2 linked regions of the Neurospora crassa OR74A genome follow. The protein of the gene in region 2 interacts with the protein of the main gene of each other region in a pairwise test. Links are inferred from orthologs where the notes say so. Each region holds a gene or a part of one and is shown on either strand. Other genes may lie near its edges.

Region 1 (4,694 bases), on a different chromosome or scaffold from region 2:
TTCCAACGACTCCGTTCCCGCGCGCGCCGCATTGGATCTGGGATTCCATCTCCATAATCTCGCGGCAACTCCCAGTCAACCAAACAACTTTCTCGACTTCATTGTTTTCTTTGATAACGCTTTGGACACCCTTTACGATCCGGTGTTGCGCCCATACAATACACAATGTCGACCCCGCGAGTTCTTAGGCAGAGCCTCCAAAGGCTCGCACAGCATGCCCGGTGCTACAGCAAGACCACCACCGCACCTCTCCGAACACAACCGCAGCGTCTGCCTACCGCGTGGTCGACGACGACACAGCTTTCTGCTTCTGCTTCCGCTTCTGCGCGCCGTTCGCTTTCCACCTCTTCCGCTCTCCAGCACGGCCACGTCGACCCTCCCAAGCCCGGCGAAGAGTCAGTTTGAGCGCATTCCCCTTCTTGTCCCTCACCAGTCTCCCACAACCACTAACTAGCAATTTGTTCGCGGCGGCACACAGACTCTACGTAACATTCATCGACAAAGACAACCAAACCCACCGCCTCGCCGTCTCCGAAGGCGACAACCTGCTCGACATTGCCCAAGCGCACGACCTCGAAATGGAAGGCGCCTGCGGCGGTTCCTGCGCGTGCTCGACCTGCCACGTCATTGTGCAGGACCAGGACATGTACGACCGGATGCCGGAGCCCGACGACGACGAGAACGACATGTTGGACTTGGCGTTTGGACTCACCGAGACGAGCCGGCTGGGGTGCCAGGTGCACATGACCAAGGAGTTGGATGGGTTGGTGGTCAAGTTGCCGAGCATGACGAGGAATTTGCAGGCTAGTGATTTCAAGTCCTAGACCGTGCCGTCATGGAATGAATGACATGGGATTGGGGGGAGGTAATATCAGGCGATGAAGGGTTGAGCATGGAGGAAGAAGAAGAAGAAGGTAGAGGTGAAGGGGCAGGGGATTCACTGTGGTGTAAAGAAAAATGGAGACGGACGACGGAATATATATGGCACAAACACGACATCTATTCCATTTCTGTCGGATTGTTGAGGCGACGGCGTTCAGCGCAGAGTTTATCGGATATCTGTGATGGGCAATGTTCATGTTGATGGATATGACGGATTGGCAAGAGCATGTTGACTGTTCATACTTCTGCATGGGGCTTGTACGTTGTTCAACTGTTTGCCCCAGATCAAGGGCACGGGGTTGTATATAAGAAAATAGCCTAGACCTTGACAATATGCAAACACAATAAACAATCACCCCTCTACACCAGAATGCAATTCCCTTAAGCCTCCTCCAAGCCACCCTTCTTCAACCCCCCACCACCGCTCGCAATCAAGTCCAAGAACCCTTTCCTCGACATCTCCGTAACCTTCTCTTCCCTCCTCTTCACACCCACGATTCCCTCCTGCCTCGCCGCCCGTTCCGCCTCTTGCGCCTTGACCTGCGCCGCCCTAACCGCATTAAACAGCTTCACCACACCCCTCTGCGCCGTCTTCTTCAGCCTCCTCTCCGTCTCCAGAATCTGACCCGTCGTCTGCTCGCCCTCCTTTCCATCCGGAATCTCCTCGATCTCGCCCGTCTGGATGTTGAGCGTCCTAGTCTTGCTAGGGACCAACACATCACGCACCCGACCCTTCTCAAAGGCCAGACGCTTCTGCTCGCGCAAACGCTTGCGCGCCTTGGCTTCGAGCGCTGCGTCGACCAGGGACTTGGCGGCGGCTGCAGACTCGGCGGAGCGCGCGACAATGGGGTCGGCGCGTCGCGAGGCGGGCAGCTTGGAGGAAAGCATTTTGGTGATGGAGGTGGCGAAGGCGTCGGGATCGTTGCGCTTGGATTTGGTTTGTCTCCTGTTGCCGTTCTCATCACCCGAGCCGTCGAGGTCGAATTCATCGTCGAGGTCGGAGCCCAGGTCGGAACCGCCGTCTAGGGAGTCGTCCTCGTCGTCTTCGGAATCTGGGGCGTCTTTGGCGACGAATTTGGGTTTTGTTTGCGACTTCTTGGAGGACTTGTTTGATGGTTGTTCGGCTTCGGAATCATCAGAGTCGGATGCTTGCTCTTCGTCTGTGGATGCGCCATCGTCGGCAACGAGGTTGTCTAGGTCTTCGTCGTCCGAGTCGAGGAGGTGGGCGGGAACGGCGGAGGTGCCGGCCTCCTCGTCGCTTTGGTCTTCAACATCTTGCTGCTCGTTGTCGGATTCCTCCTCTGAACTGCTGTGGTAGGCGGCCAATGCTTGCGCCTTCTGCTTCTTGGACGGTCGGACGGGCTTGCCCTTGCTGCTGGGGCCTTCTTTGCGCTTGGTGATGCCCATGGTTGTGATTGTGTGTGTGTCTGGTTTGATTGGATGTAGGTTGTATGTGAATTAAGCAGATGGAATAGTGGTTGTGTTTGGGATCGATTTGCCAGCTGATCAAGCCGAGGGGGAGAAATACGGGCAGAATTGTTTATCGCGGATTGGAGGTGCTGCCGAGATGGTCGAGGTTCGGAGTGCAGGTCCCTCCATTCGAAACTTCCCAATTGCTGAGGTGCTCTCCACTCAGAAATTTTTGGCGGTCGCGGCCGGCAATATGCCCTGCGTCCCTGTCCCTGTCTTGCGTCAACCCCACACTTGGTGGAACCAAGGGCAGCCCAGCGGGGATGAACGGTGGACCCGCTCTGCCGTCATCAGAATCACCCCTAACCCTAGTAAGCCGTGACTTCAACGGCTCAATTCGACGACAACCTCTTCCCATGACAACTCGACATTGACATTATCGAACAGTATGAAATTGTCTACGTGTTTCACATTTCGCGCTTTGGATCGATACGATCTCAAGCATATGGTCTCAGGACACGTTACTCACAAACGGGCGGCAGCGACGAGACCTAACAAAGTTGATCTGCCCCTGGACCGAACCTGAGCACCTCGATGAACAGCGGTCGGCATAATGTACAGACCTTTGTCTGAGCATGTTGCACTTCGGCGACCAATTGAATGTTGAAACTTTTGAACATCATTTACAGTCGAACGATGCATGACGATATACCTGAGCTCGATTAGGTAAGTAATGCACGTCAATTCCGGGTTTTACAGGTTAATTCACGTTGGACATACGCAAGCGGAACCTAGATGAATCCGACTGCCACCGTTGAATTGGTTCGCATTACATCGATCGCTACGGCTCCATGCACGATACCTCTTATCTTGCTGTACATACCTTCCTCTACAGAACACAGCTTCTGCCATCCAAGAGGCACGCTTCTGCAGTTACAGTACATGTACCTCCCTACTTTCCCGAGCCAGGTTTTCCTGACGGAGTGACCAGGTTCGATGTATTAGAAATCCGTGGAGCATCCAAGCTGCTACTGCCTGCCATCTCGCGCCATTTACTAGTAGGTAGTGACACGTGGGTGAGCGATTGGAGGAAGAGTATTGGATCGGTGCCCTCAGGTCCTGAACTTTGAGCTTCGCACCTTCCTGTCGCTAGGTCGCTTCTCCCAACTTTGCGTGTAAGTGATTGGGTCACGGTCTCATAAAACACCATTGCCATGGAGCAGAAGCAGTTCGATGTGAGCTGTAGAAGCAAAGCACGTCATGAACTTGTTCATTTCCAGAGATGGAACAACGCCAAGTGAAAAGGTGGGATATCAGCACACGGTTACGGGTTCGTCATGATATCCGAGAAGCAAGTCCGATACGGAAGTATCGTGAAGATCAATCTTCATACCTGAGCTAAGTCAATGCATTCTATTCGCCTCTGGTTTCGGATTGCTGACTGGTGTTCAGACCCGCCAAAGAATCAGGCCCAAACTACTAGTACGTGATCTTTTATTTTCCCGTGACCAGGAAATATGTAAATATCATTGCTACTAACGCATCGTGCATACAGCGCCAAGAAATCACTAATTGTGAATAGGTAAGGAAGCTACCAGTGCGATGCCACACTCTGTTGCTGACAGATTCTGGAAGTTTGGACATGTTCCTTCAAGACGGACCGTGACTTGCCTTACCCGCCCGATTTCTAGGAATGGGTCCAAACTATTTACAACACCCGACGATTAGTTCATCGGGTGTTTATTTGCAGCCCAAGAAGTCTTGAGGGAAAAAAGCTGAAACCATTGCTCATCTTCCATCATACGCCACAATTTTGACTTGAGACCCCGAACGTCTCGGTCCCAACGACTGTAGCGGCAAGGTCATAAGTACACGCTGTATTGGCTCAAAATCCATCCCGATCAAAAGCCAGAACACTTGAAGAAGCCAGAAAGACATCATTATCTTGTCTACTTGTTCATTATCGCACAAATGCGGAATACAAAACTCGCAAAAGGTACCTACTGGATCAACCTCAGGAGAATCTTTTACTCTGTCCTATTATTGTCTTCAAGGGTTTATGTGGAGTGCACATGGTGGAACTACCTACCGTATACCCGACACTCGGGCCGTCCGTTTTCAGCTAAGCATTGCAGAACGCGCAAATCTCTTCCAAAACCCAAACCCCAAGGCACGCCAGTTACGTTTCTATAATCGCTATTGGTAAAGCTGCCAGTTAGGCCTTAGAACCTAAAAACGGATGGCCCGAGTCTATACGGTACCTACCTACTATTCCGACCTTGACAAGAACTGCTTGTTGGCAGATGGCGGTTCATCACTCAGAGGGGGTGTGGTTCCGGGATTGTTGATGGAGGAGGCAGAAATGGAAAAGGCAAAAGCCAAAAGATGGGGATGGCACAGAC
Region 2 (5,890 bases):
GAAGCTCTGTACCTTACTAGCACAGACCTCCCTCTCCCTCTTTGTCGATTATTCAAGCTCTTTACAAGGCCTACCTGCGTGTATACCTCGTAGATCCTTTACAGAGAAATCCTTAAGATAGTTTATTTTAATTAGAGCGTCGCTATTAGTCTTAAGTATAGAGGTAATTTCATTATAAAAGCTTTACTTATAATATTACTTTTTAAATAAATAGTACTATTTGAGCCCAAAGATAAGTATTGCGTTTGGGTTAGTAGGAGTATTATTGTAGGCTTTAGGGTATTGGAGCTATATCTGCTTTGCTTTCTCTTATAAAAGTTCAACTATAGTACTTAGACTACGAATTTCGAGCTCTAATTGCACACGAAAGAATATTATTCTAAAAACTAGCCAATTACTATTCTTTGGGTGAATTTTCTTGAAATATTATAAGGAGGAATCAATATTTACGAGATAGGTAGGGTTTTTATTCTTATTAAAATAGTAAAATATAATATAGTTTGGTAGTAATACATTTTACTTTCTTTGAATTTATTAAGTCAATTGAGTAAGACTTAAGCGGTAAGGCTAGTTGTTTGCCTATTTAAAATTTAAAACGCTACTCCTAAGTAAGGGTATTATAATATTAGGTAATTATAGTCAGTATTGTTGCGTAGAGTAATTTAATTGCTAATAAAATGTATAAGGTTGATAGTTGTTTATAAATAGAAAGGGTAAAATGAAGGGATGTACTAGTATGAGGGTAAAAGAGTAAAGGGGGGAAAGAATAAGGAGAATCCTTTAGAAATTGGGCAGCTAGCTATACTATTTGGAGGGTTTCTAGTACCCCTAACAGCTCTAATAAGGGGTATTAGGTACATTTGACACCCCTTATTAGCTCCCTCGAGGGGTCCCTGGCAATTGTAAATTTATATAGCGAGCCGGCTAACGGCTAGCACTTAGCAGCTAGTAGGTATACTATACTAAAATAATACATATAGTGAAATTCCTAGTATTTGTTAAGTATTTGCATTTATTAGGTCTAGCATTTACGAGGCACATTACTATAAATAGAAGTGTCCGGTGAGTGGGATTCATTAGTAAATCCAATATATACCCCACGGGCACTAAACTCCTAGTTGTAGGTCCTTCTACAAGTTAATACTAGTTTGTTTGTTAGTTTGGTTCTTTAGCTATACGTTGAATAGGAGAAATTGTTTAAAGCTTCTATTAGCCTTTAAAGAGAGAAAAGGGCCTCTGTTGGAAGCGTTATATAATAATAGCCAGGGTGGAAAATGCTATGGAAGCCTTCTTATACCCCTCTTTGTCTCATTTAGGACCTCCAAGACTGGAAGATATGAGAGAGTAGTCCCCTTTTAGTACCTGTCTGAATGAGGTTCAAACGTTTTTCCTACCCTCGACATTTGGTAGCTGGCTCTAGAGTAGAAATTGGCTTTTTTTTAGTACTAAACCTACAAACACACTAAAGTTAGATTGTACAATTCAATTCTAAATCAAATATTGAAAAAGTTTAATTGTACGGTCAATATTATCTATCCGTACGGTAATGAAAAATAGACTTTCATATTCTTTTTCTAACTTAATAGAGTTTAGTATTAACTTACCAAAATGCATTATATTTTTTCTGATCTTTTACTCTATCTAACACTCTTTTTGGAGTGACCAGACCTACCTAGTAGCCCTAGGAAACTCTCAAAGAAGATAGCTATTATAAATAAATAATTAATAAGATTTTAGATGAAAAAGGCTTAAGGGGTAGTTTTTCCATGATGCTTAGGGATATAGATTTGGTACCTACCTTAAAAAATTCCTCAAAAATGAACGAATAGTTTGGTGCCACTTTCAGTTTCATTAGTCTCCGTTTTACTAAGTTATACTTAATAAAGCAAAAGTAGACCACCGTACGGATAGACAATATTAACTGTACGATTAGACTTTCTCCAAATATTACCCAGCGTAGGACTTAACACTTTTAGCACTATTTCAGGCTTGCATCGCCAAACTCCACCGAATGAAACTTGATAAGAAAAAGTGTCAATCGAAGTACCGCGCCAATGATGAACCAGCCGAGGTTTGGAGAGTACTGCATAGTACATAGAGATTTGTCAGTGTACTGTGTACATCTGTACCTCCACTTGCTCCACTCTTCCTGCAAGACGCACGAGGGTCCGCTAGGTGCATGATCCAAGCATTTTTTTTTCCAACCCTTCCTCGTAGATGGTTTATTTTGCATCACCAACAGCCAACCTCGAGACACATTGTGCCGGCCCGCTGTCCATTGATTTCGGCAACGACGGATTTAGGAGATATGGGCTCATCCAAGTCACCGAGGCAAAGAAAGAGGAAAGGCATGGGGCCGGCTTTCGACGAAGCAGCAGCACTTGCTCAACTGACCGAAAAGATCGACCAAACTCTCGCTGGCGTCGGCACTGACCAACACGCGTCACCAAATCGCAAGAGACCGAACACCACAGCTGATGATCGAGATGCAAAGAGGCGCCAGAAATCTCTACTGGGCACTGAAGAAGGACAAGAGGACCGTTCCAGCAAAGACCAGTCCCACAATGCAACAAAGGAGGTTCTGCTGGAGGAAATTTTGGCCTTGGGCGGAGACGAGGATGATCTTGAGCTTGTCGCCAATGTTGATTCCGACAATGAAGAGGGACCTGGCATGAAATCTGCGTCGGCGCCCGAAAAATCCCTGGATAAGTCATTTCATGAGGAACTGACAAAGTTCGCCTTGAGCCTGGGCTTCCAGAACATACCCCGCGAGGATGACCTTGAAAGCGTGTCGTCTGAAAACCCCGTCGACGAGGAACAAGACGAAGAAGACGACGAAGAAGAGGACGACGACGCGGAACAAACAAAACAGGATGACAGCCAGGATCAGGAACAGCCTCTAGCCATTTCTGCCACAGTAAAAAGTGAGAGCACAACTACGACCGCCCAAGACACCCTGCGCGGGAAGAAAGGCAAGAACAAGCTGGTTAGTTCGACGCTCTCGCTGCCGCAGACTTACCTGGCGGTATGCTAACTTGAGTAGGGTTTTGAGCCCAGACCTGACTGGCATGCTCTCGACCTCGAGGGCCTACCTGCCTTCACACCATCTGCCGACGTTAGGCAATATTCTTCAGCGATTGCCAACCTCAAAGCTTACGCGGACGCTCTCTTGAAGGAGGACGCGGCAAGATACAACGCCCTCCAGGCCTCCAGCTCCACTCAGAAGTTCATGTCGACCATTATGTCTTCCGGCACCTTATCCGACAAGGTATCTGCCTTAACCTTGTCGATACAAGAGTCTCCTCTCCACAACCAGAAAGCCTTTGAAACCCTGATCGGGTTGGCCGGCAAGAAAAGCCGTAGTCAGGCACTCGCTGCCCTGGGCGCTCTAGTGGATCTGCTGGGCAATGGCACAGTTCTGCCAAGTAATCGCCGGCTTCGTCCGTTCAACATGCAACCCGCCTTGCTGGCCGCTTTACAAGATCAAGCTGTGCTGCATTGGGTTCAGGGCCAGAAGCTCCCAGCCAAGCTAACTGATTCTTACCTGATGATGTGGGCATACGAGGATTGGCTCAAAGCAGCGTATTTTCGCATTGTCCAGCTCCTCGAAATCTGGTCGACTGATCAGATTGAGCATTCGAGAATGCGCGCGCTGGAATTTGTTTTCACATTGCTCCGGGACAAGCCGGAACAAGAGGCCAATTTGTTGCGACTTCTTGTTAACAAACTCGGTGATCGCGAACGGAAAATTGCATCTCGGGCGTCATACCTCCTCTTGCAGTTGCTCAACATTCACCCTGCGATGAAAAGCATTGTCATCAGCACGGTAGAGCAAGAGGTTTTGCTCAAGCCAGGCCAAGGTCTGCGCACCAAATACTACGCCATCATCACCCTGAATCAAACCATCTTGAGCACCAAAGAGCCCGCTATAGCCAACACGCTACTCCGAATCTACTTCGAGGCTTTCCTTTCCCTCCTCAAAACTGGCTCATTGGGAAACCTGGAAGCGCTAAATTCCGAGGACAAATCTGGCGGCAGCAACAGGAAAGCTAAGAAGGGCAAGCGAAATCACACCGAGGCTTCTGCCAACGAGCAGGATACGACACAAAAACTCGTATCCGCACTGCTTACTGGTGTCAATCGTGCGGTACCCTTCACTACCGCCGACGATGAGACCATGGAAAAACATCTCGATACCTTGTTTCGCATCACGCACTCGTCGAACTTCAACACCAGCGTGCAAGCACTCATGCTCATTCAACAGCTCGCCGTGACCAAACATCTCGCTGTTGACCGATTTTATCGGACATTGTACGAATCATTATTGGATCCCAGACTCATCACGTCATCGAAGCAAGCATTGTACATGAATCTACTTTTTCGAGCCCTGAAGAATGATGCCGACGTGCGGAGAGTGAAGGCTTTTGTCAAGAGATTGGTTCAGGTGCTTAACCTGCATCAGCCGTCCTTCGCATGCGGGGTGCTATATCTGATTTCCGAGCTGGAGAACATGTTTCCTGACCTTCATTCGTTGCTTACTGTTCCCGAGGAGAATGAAGATGATGGCGTGGAGGCTTACAAGGATGTCAATGATGATGCGGCTCTGCAGCGCAGTCTCTTGCGTGAAGACGCACCAACTTCCCGTCGTGCCACAGGATATGATGGACGAAAGAGAAATCCCGAGCATAGCAATGCGCACAGAAGCTGCTTGTGGGAATTGGTAAGTGCCTATTTGAACTCTGATTGCATGTGAAACCAGTTTACTAACCTCAAAACCACCAGGCTCCTCTTCTATCTCATTTCCATCCATCCGTACACGTTTATGCCAGTAACCTTCTCGTCCGTCAAAAGGGCCTGCCGAAGCCGGATTTGGCCAACCACAGCCTCATGCATTTCCTGGACAAGTTTGTCTACCGCAACCCCAAGATTACCGAGACCAAGCGCGGAAGCTCAATCATGCAGCCGGTCCTCGCTACTGGTGGCGCCTCCCAAACTGTCGTGTCCAGCAAAGATGGCGCCAAGAAGCAGCCTTCCGTCAACTCGGCCTCATTTTGGAATCTCAAACCAGGTCAGGTTTCCGCCGAAGATGTTTTCTTCCATGAGTATTTTGCTCGCATCGGCAAGCCTGGAGACATGGCAAAGAGCAAGAAAGCATCCAAGGAGAACAGTGGTCTGGACGGCGAAGAACAAGAGGAAGAAGGCGAAGACGAGATCTGGGAAGCATTGGTCAATTCTCGACCCGAGGTTGAGGGTGAGCTGGATGAAGACGAATCCGACCTCGGAATGGATGGATATGACGACTCAGACGAGGAGATGGACACTGTCGGCTTTGATATGGATGGCCCTCGCGAGGACTTCGAGGGATCTGACAGTGATGTGCCCTTTGAAGGCATTTTTGATGATTCGGATGACTCGGAAGAGGAAGCGGTGGTGGATGAGAGCGCTGGCGAGGAGGATGCTTCGACGGCAAAGAAGAAGGGCAGACTTAGCAGGAAGGAGATGAGGGGTCTGCCAACATTTGCCTCGGCCGATGATTACGCTGAGATGCTGGCTGGTGAGGATGGCATGGCCGACGATTAGTGCAGTTGGGCAAAGCGTTTCGATTTGTGGGCGAAAAGCTAGTTAGCCTGTAGCTCTCGTAACCTGGTTGGCTAAAGATCCTTCCCCTGTTGACTATGGTGAGATGGGTAAGTCCAACCCGTGGATTGACGTTGTACACACAGTGCCCACGAAGCTTTGGCTTTGGTGGTTGGTGTCAGATACCTGACAGGGAGGTAAAACTTTTGCTCGCAACCGCAGGACATTCGCCTACATGCCCTACCAAAGATGTTTGTTCGCCTCCTTGCTCAAGAAGGCAATGATTCCAGTATTTGCTACAATGACTGGAGTA

Evidence for each region. The genes of interacting proteins can lie anywhere in the genome.
Region 1: the proteins of NCU09894 (region 2) and NCU07795 interact in binary tests that used the Saccharomyces cerevisiae proteins (3 or more experiments, as listed by UniProt). The link is inferred for Neurospora crassa OR74A from reciprocal best matches to the Saccharomyces cerevisiae genes MAK21 and RRP15.

What each region holds. Positions count from the first base shown.
Region 1 is NC_026505.1:267,765-272,458, reverse strand, and holds NCU07795 (DUF1665 domain-containing protein), read right to left. Parts: upstream 2,459-4,694; 5' UTR 2,290-2,458; coding exon 1,264-2,289; 3' UTR 1,086-1,263; downstream 1-1,085. Other genes in the region: NCU07794 (2Fe-2S iron-sulfur cluster binding domain-containing protein), read left to right, coding at 166-395, 479-824. UniProt on the Saccharomyces cerevisiae protein: Constituent of pre-60S ribosomal particles. Required for large subunit rRNA maturation, in particular processing of the 27S pre-rRNA at the A3 and B1 sites to yield 5.8S and 25S rRNA.
Region 2 is NC_026501.1:3,984,713-3,990,602, forward strand, and holds the start of NCU09894 (CCAAT-box-binding transcription factor), read left to right. Parts: upstream 1-2,174; 5' UTR 2,175-2,179; coding exon 2,180-2,986; intron 2,987-3,043; coding exon 3,044-4,720; intron 4,721-4,782; coding exon 4,783-5,580; 3' UTR 5,581-5,890.